Diceros bicornis minor: one gene and its partner. The protein of the gene in region 1 purifies or fractionates together with the protein of each later gene. This does not show direct contact. Links are inferred from orthologs where the notes say so. Each region holds a gene or a part of one and is shown on either strand. Other genes may lie near its edges.

Region 1 (7,756 bases):
CAAACATAGGAGAGAAAGACGAACAGGCAGATAATGTTGGGGAGGGGGCAGGTACTGTCTGGGTACATTTAATGAAAATACAGGAGTAAGACTCATGAGGTAGGATGGAGTTAACTAGTAATGGAACATGCTAGTCCTTAGCATTCCTGCTCAAGACAACAGCCTGGAGACAGTAAGGCCAATACTCCAAACAGAGGCCCACTCCATTCAAAAGTCAACTTCCATTCTTAAGATCCTTACCATCCTAATTTAGAGGCTATAGGATCTGCGCTATGCCGCAATATCTTCACAATGAATTAACAATAAACACAAAGCACTGCTACAAAATATGAGATTTTCCATTTGTCCTCCAGAAAAATTCCTATGAACGTCAAATACTGGCACATGAACAAAAAGTATTTAACTTAAAAAAAAATCACTTGTTACAGGTAGGTTGACACAGTCTAGATGGTAAGCAACATAAAGTTTTCATATAGTGAATGAGAACATTAAGCAGTGTAAAATTTCCATTCTAATTTTAGCATCATAACCATTATCTCTATTTCCAACATTATTTTAATAATACTTTCAAAATGAAACTGTAAATCAAATAACATTAGCCTTAAAAGTACTGAAAGAACAGCTGACTAATACTTAGTGAAACTAGTGGCCCAAGCAGGCCACCGACAAACTTCGGGAGCAATTCACAGGTGCTCTGTGTGAGGAAGCTCCACCTCCCAGAGCTCATCCACTCCGCATACAATGGGAATGGTGACCCCCTGGACTCATGCAAGGCCCAGTTCTATCCAGAGGAATTACTAAGCAACAGGCTTTTTAAAAAGGAAGATTATGAGAATTTTTTGAGCTGGAAGTCAGTCACTTCAGGGATTATCAAGACCAATCTCTTCATTCTGTTTATCAGGATATTTTGATCCTTTTTAGAGCAGAATTACATTTAAGACAAAATAAATGCACTAAATTTATCTTCTGTATGTCTTCAAGCCCACTATTTTTAAAAAGTCAGTAAGGAATATTATTTAGAAGTTTCACATTATTATAACCATGAAATAAAATATAAAAGCAGCTTTTCAAAAACTGTGTTGGTCTGGTTTTTCCAATACAAAGCAGAACAGCTCCAAAGCTTCCCCAAATCCTTCCTTCGTGTTCATGGTTAATTTATCAGCTTCAACACCTCCCCTACCTCTCCACCCCCCTACAATGGGATTTAGGAGCCTAGGACTGGCTATTCACAACACAGCATTTAAAATAACAAGGCTTCTTATTGTAAAAACATTCCCCTCCCACCAAAGGGAAGTCCCTCCCACCAACCCTGTGATTTGCTAAGGAAAGAAAGAAATATGTACAGCTCCAATTTACACTTCAGTCAAAACTTTCAAAACAGATGGAGAGGCTAAAAGAATCCCTTCAATTCTAAAATTCCGTGATTCTAGTAATTCATTCACCTCAATAATTTCGCATGACATCTTCTGTTCGGATGCCACTTTAAATTGCTTGACATGTTGAGATCTATTAAATGTACAGCAATTTTAATTTCAAGGGAATGCTGTCATATTCATTAAACAGTGCTCTATATACCTGGATAATGAGACCAAATTTTATGAGATGCTGAATAACAGCGTCTTGTTAATTATAATTCAAAACAGACCTTCTTAAATAGTCTCTGCATTCTTCTTTTGGAAGATTTTTCTGTTACCACCTTACTACAACAGTTGCTAAACAAAAAGCTTAGAAGATACCAAGCAACTTAGTATTTTGATTTAGCACTCAAAAATGGTAATCCATCACACAGGGATTTAAGCTGAGAATCAACAAAAAATATGGAGCAAGATCTATTTAGTACAAATTCCCTAATAATAAGCCGCGAGTTACTTTCTCCATTACTAAGGGAAGGCCCCTCATCTACTAAGTCAAAATTTAAACAGAACACCTGTACGAAGATCACACACATTTTGTCTTTCCATTCAAATTTCAGTATATTCAAGTTTCTTAGTAAAATGTGGGCAATCTTTCCTTTAAAAATGTACATATTTGCTGAATACATTGGGAAGAGAGCTGATGGGCCACTGAATTTTTACTTGCCAAGTGTATACTCCCTGGTTTAATAGCCAAGGTTAAATAATTTTTAAAAGTCTAGATGACTATTACATTAAGAACACTCTCACTTATATTCTACATAGGTGTGAAAATGTAAAAGTTGTTGTTTAAAATTTTGTCAACATAAAATCTACAAATAAAGTGTACTTTTCACGGTTATGCTTGCAAAGACTACTTCTCATTCGAGGGCCTCAGAACATGCTGCCGGCAGCCCAGGACACCCGTGACACCGCCGTCCGGTGCGTTTTACCTTCTTTGGGGGTATGCCTTCCCCTTCCCCCACCCCCAGGGCACCGGGGACTTGGAATCCACAAACGAAAGGTCTGCTCCGAGCTGGCACTCCTGCCCGACCCCAGGCCAGGCTTCACCCGGAGGCAGACGCTCGTCCTGAAGTTCCGAAGTAAGGCTGGAGCAGAAGTGATTGCCAAAATGCGAATTTTATCGGAATCTGCATCTCCCGAGTCCGGCCGCGGAACTAACTACAAGTAAAGTTGCATCAGAAAAGACAACCTCCAGAAAAGTCGGCTAGACTGGGGCGCAGGACGGGCACGTTATGCAACGGCCGCCGCTCTCACGGCCACGAATGCGCCCCTGGAAGCCCGGGCTTCGACCCGCGAGGACCTGGAGGCCAACACGGAGACGCCGGGGCGGGCCCGGCTTCCCCGCCGCCCGAGGGGACACAGCGGCGCGGCCTCCGTGGGGACACGACGCCGCGGCCAGTCGGGTACGACGGGGCGGCCTCCGTGGAAGGCGGGGCGGCCAGGCGCGGGACCCCGGCGCTGTCAGGGCCGCCCGCTGGCACCGCGGAGGCCGGGCACTCGGGTAGAAGCCCGGCTCCCGGGACGGTGGAGGCGCGGGCGCCCCCCGCTCGCCGCCCCCGGCCCCCAGCGCACAACAAAGCGGCGCACCCTGCCGCCCGGCGCTCGCCCCCAGCCTCCCGGCCCGCGCGAGCCGGCTCGGCGGACTCCGGACGGCCCGCGACGACGCGCCGCCGGCGGGGGCGGCTCTGGGCCCAGGACGGGCGGGGGCCGTGGGGGCAGGGCGCAGAGCTCCGGTCCTGACAAACTTCCTTGGCCGCCCGCTCCCGCCCCTGCCCCTTCACCTCCTGGGGCGCGGTCTACACGCTCCGGGGCGTCCTCGCCTGTGGCTCCGGGGCCTCGCGCGCCGGGGGACCGGGCGCCGGTGGCTGGAGCTGCTGCTGGCCCCGCAGGGACAGGGGAGCCCCGGGCGGCGGCGGCGCGGGCGGCGGCTGCTCCATCTTCCCGGGGCGCTCACGCCGCTGTTCCAACGCGCAGACCCAAGTGGGACATTCGCTACATTGTTGGCATTCCACGGGCGTCACGTGACCCCGCCTCCCGCGTCACTCTCGGCCGCATACCAGCCCGGGCGGGGCGCCTGCGGCCCTTGCCGCTCGGCGGCCGGCTCGCTCCGCCCGGCCGCCGCTTCCTGCCTCCAGGTCGCGGCCGCCCGCGCCCGTCGCCACCTGCCCGCGGCCTCCCCGCCTCCTCCTACGGACCTTTTTGCCAGTTTGTCACCCGGCCCCAACTCCAGTATTGCCCCCTCGACTGGACTTGTATTAAAAGTTGGTAACTCTGTCTTACAGCCACTTTTTTCTTAAGCATCTCACACCAGCCTTGGTGAAGAAAGTAAGTTAACAGGCTTGAAGGAGCCACCAAGTTACCAAATAGGTGCCGAAAAGGGCAGACAGCTAGCCGTGAGTCATGGAAAGACGTCAAATATACACCCAAATTCAATCGGTTTTAATTTAATCAACCCCCAGTGCTGTGTATATTTTGTTTATGAGAAGTGTTTTATGGTATACAGAACAGTATAAGAATGTATACCAACAAGAGAGATTTTGGTTTTTGCGTTTCAACCGCTGACTGTCTTTCCATTTGGGGGCTATGGATTTGGTACAAGGACGTATGCAGGGACTGTGCAGAGATGTGAGTAGAAATAACAGACTGGAAGCCAAATCTTTAATCTACTTCTGGCTGTCCGTCTAACGTCATACTTCCTACCGCCTACAGTCTGTGGTAGATGATGAGGAGGACTAACATCGATTTAAAAGCCAACCTAATTTCCTTTTTAATTAATAAACTCCTGTGAAATTTTTAAATTTTAATCTGGAAAGAAACAGTAAATAAGGTCATTATCTCCGGACTGTTTTAACAACCTTACCTGTCCCTGGTCTGCCATCTTCTCCTCCTTCCTTTCTAAATCCCACCCAGGTTTTTAGCCCTGACTTTGCCTTGGCTCTTCCAGGGAATCTTCTCAGATCTCCCTCCTGTTTTCTCTCTTCTTTGAGCTCTGGTAATTAAACCATTATTGTGCAGTTTGGAATTCAATTTACTTTTTCAGTCGTATCCTGTGCTCAACCCAGACATGTTGCGCAGTATAAATCTCCAGCAGATATTCTGTAACTGAGTCCCCCTTGCACTCAGCTGTGTACCTTTTCCCTTATACACTGCCCATACTTTCTGCACCCAAGCCCCAAGCCGCAGGGCTGGCTACCAGTCTTCCTTTGTGTGTGTTTAAAGATCTTGCCCTTGCTCTGTCTTCAAAGATCTGAACATAATTAAATAAAACATTTTTGTCAAGTGAAATATTGTAAATAAGAGGAATTTAATGGACTTTAAAATTTATGTGTAAACACCTAATAAAATTTTGTAATTACAACAACCATTACAGCATTGTTTGCAATAGTGAAAAATCAGGAAGAACTTAAATGTCCAGCAATAGGGAATAATAGGAAAATAGATGGTAGATATTCAAATGATGAAATATATAAAATAGCTAAGTGAATGAACTAACTAGCTCTGTACTTTTCAAAGAAAAAATGAGTGTAGACAGAATTCAAAACCATTGTAGAGTAGAAAAAAGAAAGTTGCATAACTATATATACACTATGATGCCATATTTATATATAAACAAAACCCCGCAGAACCTATACTAATCCTATACTTTATATAAGTAGAGACATGGACTACAAAAGTACACACCAAATTCATGACAGCTGTTGCCTGTGTAGAAGGAAGGAGAGAAATTAGACTGAGGAGAGAAAGAGTTCAGCTTTATCTGCAATGCTTTTTTTTTTATTTAAAGAAGTGAAGCAAAACTGTCAAAATCTTAAAATTTGTTGATTCTGGGTGATTAGGTTCAATAATGTGTGTTGTGTTATTCTTTGTGCCTTTTTTTAAAACATCTTTTTAAATTTTTCAAATATATATGTATGAAACAAATTGGAAACAAGTAAATTTCCAATTAGAGGCTTGCCTGGGGAAAATGTGACACACTTATTTAGGAGAATATTATGATTAATGATTGTGTTTATTGTTATTGGGATATGTGTTTATTGACATGGAGTCATTCATTCCTTTGAGTTGTTTTATTTTTTGAGTATCTGTTATGAGCCGTGGGCTAAACCAGACACTAGGGACAAAACCACAAGACTTATCCCCTGGTGGAGCTAACAGTCTTGTAGATGTGTTCAAGAAGAAAAGCAAATGACAAAATAGAGTATAGCATCTAATTTTGTGAAACAATGTCAGTATATATATATTTATATATTTTAAAAATATATTAATAATATATTATAAATTATATAATACTATATAATATAAAATATTATATATTTTAAAGTCCAGAAAAGTATGCAGCCAAATGTTAAAAATGGTGGTCTCTAGGGGCCGGCCCGGTGGTGTAGTGGTTAAGTTTGCACCACTTCAGGCAGCCTGGGGTTCACAGGTTCAGATCCCAGGTGTGGAGCTACATACCACTCTCATTAAGCCATGCTGTGGCGGCATCTCACATATGAAGTAGAGGAAGATGGGCACGGATGTTAGCCCAGGACCCATCTTCCTCAGCTAAAAGAAGAGGATTGGCAACAGATGTTAGTTCAGGGCTAATCTTCCTCACCAAAACAAAAAAAAGTGGTAGTCTCTGGATATAGTCATTCTGGGTGATTTTTGTCTTATAATTCCTGATATTCCTAAATAGGATAGTTAGCAACAAAAACTATGTCTAAATTAAGTAATCAGCTAAATGAGTACATTCACGTAATGCATCCAGCTGAGAAGGGGAGAAAAGAGAGAAATAACACAAGGCCAGATGAGCACAAAGCCTGTAGCAGTGGCAATGTTGCAGTGTATAAATTAATTGATTAACATAGTATGTTTATATATGCGTATGTGTTTGTGTGTCCTTACAACCAAGTGTTGCCCTAAACTTGTGTATTATCTCATTTAATCCTCTAGACAACCATGTTATCAACCCCATTTTATAGAAAAGGACCCTATAACACAGAGAACCCAAGTAACTCACTCAAGATCAAAGAGCTGGGATTTGAACCTTGGTAGATCTGACTCCAGAGCTAGGCAACACTGAATTATAAGGCTCTCTTCAGGTAATCTCAAAAAGTCATGATTACAGTGTACTTATAAATAAGGAAACTGAAACAAAATTAACTCCCCTATAGTTTGTTTGAGGGAAGAGGAATGGCTTTTGTGGAGTGAGGAAGAGTGGAGCTCAAAGACATGTGTCTCCAGCACCAACCAGAGAAAAAAGAGGCTGTGGGCTGCAGGCACAGGGAGTCTACTCACCAATGAGGCCCCTGCAGTTGTGGGGCCCGGATGTTTTAGCAGTTCTCACTGAGGCCCCTAGGGAATATCACCCTAAGACTACCTACCACGCCCCACTTCCCCGCCAAGCTGTGAATGCAAGAAACCTGATTATGGCTCATACCTTAGTGCCTGGAAAACAGGCTCTGGTCTCTAGACACAATTTTTGTCATTTTGGAAAGAAAAAGCCTCCTTTTTTATAATCTGTGGGGGAGACTTAGCAAATCTGCCTAACTACAGAAGAATGTTCTCTAAGGGGAGTAGTGAAAAAATAGACTAGAGGGGCTGGCCTGGTAGTGTAGTGGTTCAGCGTGCATGTTCCGCTGCTGGTGGCCCGAGTCCGATCCTGGGTGCGCACCGATGCCCTGCTTGTCAGGCCATGCTGTGGTGGCGTCCCATATAAAGTGGAGGAAGATGGGCACAGGTGTTAGCCCAGGGCCAGTCTTCCTCAGCAAAAAGAGGAGGATTGGCATAGATGTTAGCTCAGAGCTGATCTTCCTCACACACACAAAAAAGTAGAGTAGAGTCAGGATATGAAAGGCCTAGAAAACCAGGAAGAAGATGTGCTGCACTGATTTTTTTGTTTTATACTCATATATTTTGTCTTCTTAATTAGATTATAAATTCCACAAGAATGGGGACCATATTCTCCCCCCAAAACTATATATAAAGAACTTTGTAGTGAGCTAGATGAAAGACTAGAAGAAATCACCCAAGCTGAACAGGTAAAAGAAAAAAGGATTAAAAAGAGTGAGGACAGTCTAAGGGACCTCTGAGACAACATCAAGTGCACTAACATCCGTGTTATAGGTGTCCCAGAAGGAGAAGAGTGAGACAAAGGGGCAGAGAATCTATTTGAAGAAATAATAGATGAAAACTTCCCTAACCTAAGGAAGGACACAGACATCCAGGTACAGGAAGCACAGAGAGCACCAAACAAGATAAACCCAAAGAGGCCCCCACCAAGACACATCATAATTAAAATGTCCAGGATTAAAGATAAAGAGAGAATTCTAAAAGCCACAAGAGAAAGACAAGTTACA
Region 2 (7,245 bases), on another chromosome or scaffold:
GTCTTGCTCTGCAGTGGAAGGCGCTCAGGACCAGTCTAGGGTAATACTGCCACCTGGTGGGCAGTTTTAGTCATGGGCTTGATTCTTCTGAGCAGAACACGGGCTCCGTCCCTATTTGGGAATTGGGATATAGATATAATAGCTATTGTTTATTGAATTATATAAGGCAGATTTTATTATTCCCGTATTACACATGAGGAAATTAAAGCTTAAAGAGTTGTATGTCTCACCAGCAGCTGCTCTCCCGCTGTGTGACCAAGCAGTCTACAGGGCCTTGTAGCTATTTCTTAGTCCTGTCAGCCAAGCTGTATTTTGAGCTGCATACACGTGCGCACACACACACGTACACAAAATTTGTGCATTTTGAATGGATTGAGAAGTAAAAATGGCTCTCCATTCAGTCTACAACAAATATTGATTGCTTACTAGGTGTCAGGTACTGTGCAAGGTACTATGGTACCTTGTACAGTGTACAAGGTACACTGTTGATCAGGTCAGAGGTTGACTACACTATTGTGTAGTCGGGAAGCCAGGCAAGCCAGGCATTTAAGCAGGCAATGAAATGACTTGTGATAAGGGTCATGCTGGGGGAGCAACGGCAGTATACAGCAAGGGTAGTTAACCTACTCTGGCAGTCTGGAAAGGCTTCTCAGAGAGTGGAGTTCAAACCGATACCTGAAAGAAGGGGAAGAGTTAACCAGAAGGGAAGGGAGGCCAGGAGAGTGTTCCAAACACAGGGAACAGCAAGTACAAAAGTCCAGGGGCAAGAGAGAGCACATACAAGGTGCAATTCTACTGGAGAACAGTTGGAGGAGGGGATGGTGTTGAGAGAAGAGGCTGGAAAGGTAGAAAGACCTTGTAAAATATCATAAAGAGTATAGACTTTAGTTCAAGGGCAGTGAGAAATCATTGAAAGGTTTTATAGCAGGGAAACAAGATGATCAGTTTTGTGTTTTAGAAGAATCACTTGACCTCAGGGTCTAAGATGGATTGAGGGAGAAAAGCCTCGGCAGGGAGACTTTTGCAGTGGTTCAGGAGAGAAAAGATGGTGGCTTGATAGATATCATGGTGATAAGGGGAGGAGAGATTTGAAAGATATTTAGGAAGCAGGATTGATAGGACTTGGTTGGATATGAGGTTAAGGGAGGAGGACATAAGGTTGATGTTCAGGTTTCTGGCTTAAGCGCCTAATTGGTTAATGGTGCAATTTACTCAGGGAATGCTGGAGGAGCCAGTTTCGGGAGGCAGGGAAGGTGGTCAGTATGCCTTTGAGGCAACCAAGTGGAGATGCTAGTAGTCAGCACCCTGCCTGGTCTTTTTGTGCCATCCTCTCTGGCTCTCTATCAGACAATGCTCTGCTGCTATTCACAGGGTTTTCATGGCTGATTTTTTTGGAAGTGGGTGGCCAAGTCCTTCTTCCTAGTCTGTCTTAGTCTGGAAGCTCCACTGAAACCTGTCCACCTCGGTGGCACAGCTTTCAGCATCACACAGCCACCGCAGTATAACAACTGACAGACGGGTGGTGTGGATCCATGACTGGGAAACAAACCTGGGCTGCAGCCATGAGAGCATAGACTTTTAACCACTAGACCAGCAGGGCTGGCTGAATTCAAGTCCTGGGGGTGGAGAATAGGGCCTGTGGAGCTCCCGCCTCCAGTTCAGACAGTGGAGTGGTTACCCCCAGTTCGTGGGCACTGCTCCAGCATGCCCTATCAGTGCACCTGTCTCCCCCTGCACTTGTCTTTGCTTCCTGCTATCCCCTGAAAACACAGGTTTTCAATCCCAACTGTGCCCACTGCTGCCACCACCAACTCCTGGATGGGCCTCCTTTAATGGCCTCTCAACTTTTCACAAGATTTACTCTCCCATCCTCACCCCAAAGGAGCAAAGCTTCCAAATATTAGAGGCTGTGTGGATATTTTGGATGTAAGGAATTGGAAAGAAGAATCCAGGTTCTCCTTCCCCATCTGGAGACAGGAAAGGAGGGAGAGTCTTATGGTTAATTTTGAAGATGTTGCTCACAGTGGGTTCTAGATACAACCTGATAGCTCTCCTCTGTTACTAATGCTTTCGGTGCTCCCTGCCTCCAGTCCAATAGTAAACTCTTCTCTGGATCAGAGCAAAGCTGTAGGCCTGACCAGGGAAACAGGCTGACTCTCAGGAGAGATGAGGTCAGGGTGACAATGCAGCTAGGACAAAGAACCAAATAGTGTGTGCCAAATTAATTTCCCCAAAGATGTTAACCTCCTTTCCTTCCCCATTCCCTAAGGCTACAAGAAGATTATAAAAGGTGTTCAAATGTTGAGATGAAAATAATATGCATGATTTGTTTGCATATAATTTTCATACTCATTTACTATCTAAATACAAAGGAGTCATTTTCCTTCTCCATTCTACTTCCTCAGCCCCTGGCCCCTGACGTGCTAGTCTGGGCAAAGTCAGCTGGCTGGTATTTAATCAGGTTTGTTCAGCTTCAGCCACAGTTTCTTCTTTTCCTTATTCTTCTTCTTTTTTTTTAATTTTGCTTTTATTTATTCATTCATTCATTCAGGGAGGAAGATCAGCCCGGAGCTAACATCCAATGCCAATCCTCCTCTTTTTGTGGAGGAAGATTGGCCCTGGGCTAACATCAGTGCCCATCTTCCTCTCCTTTGTATGGGATGTGGCCACAGCATGGCTTGACAAGTGGTGCCTCTGTGTGCCCCGAGGATCGGAACCTGTGACCCCTCTGGCCGCTGAAGCAGAATGCGTGCGCTTCACTGCTAGGCCACAGGGCTGGCCTTCTTTTCCTTACTCTTTATCCTTTTTCTTTCGCCCCCAACCCCAGTAGATAGTTGTATGTCATAGCTGCACATCCTTCTAGTTGCTGTATATGAGACACCACCTCAGCATGGCCGGAGAAGCTGTGCATTGGTGAGCGCCCAGGGTCTGAACCCAGGCCACCAGTAGTGGAGCACAGGCACTGAACCGCTAAGCCACAGGCCGGCCCTCTTTATCCTTTTAGTATGGCCAAGATCAGCCTCTTTTCTTCTTCCACCCTGATCATTTTCACTTGCTATCTCCTCTAAATGACATTTCTTTTCTTCCTCTTAAATTAATCTTAAATTACTCTTCATCACCAATCTCCTGTAGGCCAACAAAGCAGGAGGCTAGCGTTCCCTAGCCCTAAAACCAGGCCTTTTATCCCCATAGTCACCTGAAATATTTGCTAAACATCTCACTTCCCAACACCAGGGGGTGTCTGTCTATCCCTCTATCTGTCCCACCCTGAAGGTAGAGATTAGTCCCAAACCTTTTCCTCACTCCTTTTACATAGACGCTAAAGCTCCCTTTCTCCCTCCCACCCATCACAGAGCTTTGGGTTCAGAAAATGGTTTCTTTTTAATTGCAGTTTATCTGTTTGTCTCTCATTCTCTCTGGACTTGCATATATTTGTCTTTTTCTTACTATTCATCCTTCTGTCTCCACACCACCCACGACCCCTTTTGCTGGGGCTCTCCCTTTCTTTCGCTACCTGTCTTCCATCACGTCTCTGTAGGGGCTTCCTCGCCTGTCTGGGCTCTTTATGTACACGTCTCTGAACCTCTTTATGTACGTACCTTTCTTCTTGCTCCCTGTCTTCCTTTTTATGGATCTCTCCCTCTCTCACTACTTCTGTATCAGTCTTTCTCCATCTCTCCCACAGTCCCCACACTAAGAACAAAGTCACAGTATTTGCGGAGAACAAGCCTCGCGTCGCCCCGTCCAGGACTGCGACATTCCACCGTGCCCCTCCGCGCCCCTGCGCGCATTCCAACTGCAAACAAAGAGTTCCCCTCTCCCACCCCACTTTTTCCTGCCCCAATTCTTGAGTAACGTAGCGGCAGCTGCCCAAACTGCTCCTCGCCCTCCTCTCGCCTCCAGTCGCAGGATCTCCACCTCCAGGGCAGTTAGCACCAGCACCAGCACCACCACCCCACGCCACCCCCTCCCACTGCCTGGCGCACCAGAGATCCCTGCGCAGACACCCCCGTTCCTCTCGCACTCGGCGCTCCGCCCTCCAGGAAAGTAGATCCGGCCAGGCAGACAAAAGTTTGGGAGAGAAGTTGGGTCGGTGCTGAGTGTGAGTGCGAGGGGGGCGGGGGCCGGCGAGAGTGGGTCTGCCCAGCGAGTCGACGCGTGAACAGATAGACCTGCGGACGGGACAGTCGCGGCCGCAGGAGCTTCTAGCCCCGCTTAACCCCTGATGCGCGGGGGGCCGCAGCTTCTCTCGCTGGGGGATGCTGCGAGATTCTTGGCGCCGGGCATCCGGGCCGCCCGCTAAACCCGTGTGCCTACTCTGTGCCCCTGGCGAACCGGAGTCCGGCCGCAGGGAAAGAGAAGCGGCCACTGAGACGCTGCAGGGTGCCGGGCGGGGAGGGGGCTGGAGGCCCCAGGCCCGAGGGCATGGAGCGATTAGGAGAGAAAGCCAGTCGCCTGCTGGAGAAGTTAAGGCTCTCGGACTCCGGCAGCGCCAAGTTCGGCCGCAGAAAGGGTGAATCTAGCCGGTCTGGGTCTGATGGGACCCCTGGGCCGGGCAAGGGGCGACTGAGTGGGCTGGGGGGACCTAGGAAATCTGGGCCCCGTGGAGCTACTGGAGGACCTGGGGATGAGCCGTTGGAGCCAACCCGGGAGCAAGGCCCCCTGGACGCAGAGCGGAACCCGCGCGGCTCCTTTGAGGCGCAGCGCTACGAAGGCTCCTTCCCCGGGGGGCCGCCTCCCAACCGGGCCTTGCCTCTACCTCAGTCATTGCCCCCCGACTTTCGGCTGGAGACTACGGCCCCAGCCCTAAGCCCTCGCTCCAGTTTCGCCAGTAGCTCAGCCAGCGACGCGAGCAAGCCGTCCAGCCCCCGGTGCAGCCTGCTGCTGGACGGGGCGGGGGCTGGCGGAGCCGGAGGTAGCCGACCCTGCAGCAATCGTACCAGCGGCATCAGCATGGGCTACGACCAGCGCCACGGCAGTCCCTTGCCCGCCGGGCCATGCCTGTTTGGCCCACCCCTGCCCGGGGCTCCGGCGGGCTATTCCCCTGGAGGGGTGCCGTCCGCCTACCCGGAGCTCCACGCTGCCCTGGACCGACTGTGCGCTCATCGGCCCGCGGGGTTCGGCTGCCAGGAAAGCCGCCACTCGTATCCCCCGGCCCTAGGCAGCCCCGGAGCTCTAGCCGGGGCCGGAATGGGAGCCGCAGGGCCCTTGGAGAGACGAGGGGCGCAACCCGGACGACACTCAGTGACCGGCTACGGGGACTGCGCCGCGGGCGCCCGATACCAGGATGAGCTAACAGCGTTGCTGCGCCTGACGGTGGGCACGGGTGGACGAGAAGCCGGCGCCCGCGGGGAACCGTCGGGGATTGAGCCGTCGGGTCTGGAGGAGCTGCCGGGTCCGTTCGTTCCAGAGGTCGCCCGGGCCCGAATGCGGGAGCCGGAGGCCAGAGAGGACTACTTCGGTGAGTGAGAGAAGTGGTTAGGGACGGGAAGGGACCCGCCACCGCATTCGGTTCCGCACTGCCCCGACAGCCCAAATGGCCGGCGCCGGGAGATCGGAGGCGGAGACGCGGGGCTAGAAAAGAGGCAAGAGGGATTTCCCCTTCCCACTGGGTTTCAGATGAACCAGGGGCTCCTTATTCTCGCTAAATTCAAGCCCCCTGATTATCTCCGAAGTCCCAGTTCCTCAAGCTTTAGAGCCTCGGTTTTTCGCGGTAGGAGGCCTCATAGGGAGGGGACCAAGTGGGGCAATGAGAGCATCCCCCATCTTGCAGGCGGCGGTGCCCCTGCAGGCTTCTGCGCACCGCGCCCCCACCCGGGCCTAGGCTCCGCCCGCAGGAATTCGGGGAATGCGCGGGAGGAGGGGCGGGGCGGGCAGGCCGCGTGCGTGCCGGCTCCTGCCCCGGCGCTCCAGGTGCCCGCGGGCGGGGCCGGCTGCGCGGCGCTGGGGAGAAGGGTGGGGTGCGGGGCGAGGCGGGGGGCCTGCTTCCTAACCCGCGCGGAACTGTGGCCGCGGTGGGGGAAGTGGATCCTGGGGAAGGAGGATGAAGTCGCCTGGGACTGAAAACAGGGACCCTACTGCTGGCTCGCCCCAGTCCTGCTGGCTCGGTGCATGCGTGGGCATTTTATCGGAGACCTGGTGGTGTCAGCTTCTTTTTTCCCCATTCTCCGGAAGTCAGAGCAGAAGCCACGACCACCGGGACATCATCACCCCTGGATGGATAACGACCATAGGGTCGTAACTGCCAGAAGTACCTGGCTTTCAGTTCTGGCCATAACCTACTTAGCATTCAGGCTAGTCTAGCTCCTTACTTTCTGCTGCTGTTAAGGAAACCTGGTAATTGTCTCTCCCCCATGCGGTTACCTTTAAGAAGTATTCATTGATTATATGTTTTAGCTGGGGGGGATACTGGGGTGTCAACGATCTTTTAGCCAAGACCCACAGGACCACTTCACTATATAAAGAAATGCTAGTCTGATTGTGATAGGAAGAACAGAAGTAGAAGGCTCACCCCTAGGGCTGTGGGCCCCTTCGGTTTTCCAAGCATCTCCTTCTCACCTTTCTCACCATCCTTGTTACTGCCCTGGACCCCATGCTCTAAACCTCTGTGGCTATAAGCTTGAGTAGGGAGAGGAACCTAGCTATAAACATGAGTAGGGAGGAGATTCAGAGGCATCAGGGGAAGGAACCTGCTTAGTTTAACCCCAACCCTTCCACCTTTTCCCCCCTACCCTGAGAGAGGAAAGCCCACAGCAGGTAATGCTTTGGTCAAGGGAGACTAAGTGCCAGGATCCTTTTAGCAGTTTCCTTTTGAGGCCCAGGAGAAGTAGCTGTTGGATGGAAAGAAGTCTCCTTGGCTAAGCCATCAGAGCCAAAAGGAAGAAAGGAGCTCAGAGAGAGTGCAATAAAATGGCAGGAAGAACCTAGGTGTGGATATGCTGGGTTAGAGGAGGTTAGGTGGCCATGCCTGAGCAGTTTGCTTTTGTCTTCCCATAATCACCAAGGCTTCCCAAAAAAATAGCTCTGACAGGGCCCCCTGGCATGGCAATTTTGGGGCAGATCTCCCCTCCCATGGAGGCCACATTTTGACCCCAGAGGTGGGGGACTCCTCTCCGGGGGGTCAGATTGCCTTCTCTGACAGAACCCTCCTCCTGACTGTACCCTCCTACTCCTGCCCCTAGTAGGGGCCCTTTTCCTTGGCTACAGCCTTGCCCAGCTGCCAGAGGGTGGGAGCAGGACAGGCCT

What was found.
Region 2: the proteins of LATS2 (region 1) and AJUBA purify together in Homo sapiens (affinity purification with western blotting; 3 studies listed by BioGRID and IntAct, with this or other methods). This does not show direct contact. The link is inferred for Diceros bicornis minor from reciprocal best matches to the Homo sapiens genes LATS2 and AJUBA.

The regions. Positions count from the first base shown.
Region 1 is NC_080748.1:5,593,415-5,601,170, forward strand, and holds the start of LATS2 (serine/threonine-protein kinase LATS2), read right to left. Parts: upstream 3,364-7,756; 5' UTR 3,197-3,363; intron 1-3,196. UniProt on the Homo sapiens protein: Negative regulator of YAP1 in the Hippo signaling pathway that plays a pivotal role in organ size control and tumor suppression by restricting proliferation and promoting apoptosis.
Region 2 is NC_080744.1:24,763,216-24,770,460, forward strand, and holds the start of AJUBA (LIM domain-containing protein ajuba), read left to right. Parts: upstream 1-3,991; 5' UTR 3,992-4,425; coding exon 4,426-5,461; intron 5,462-7,245.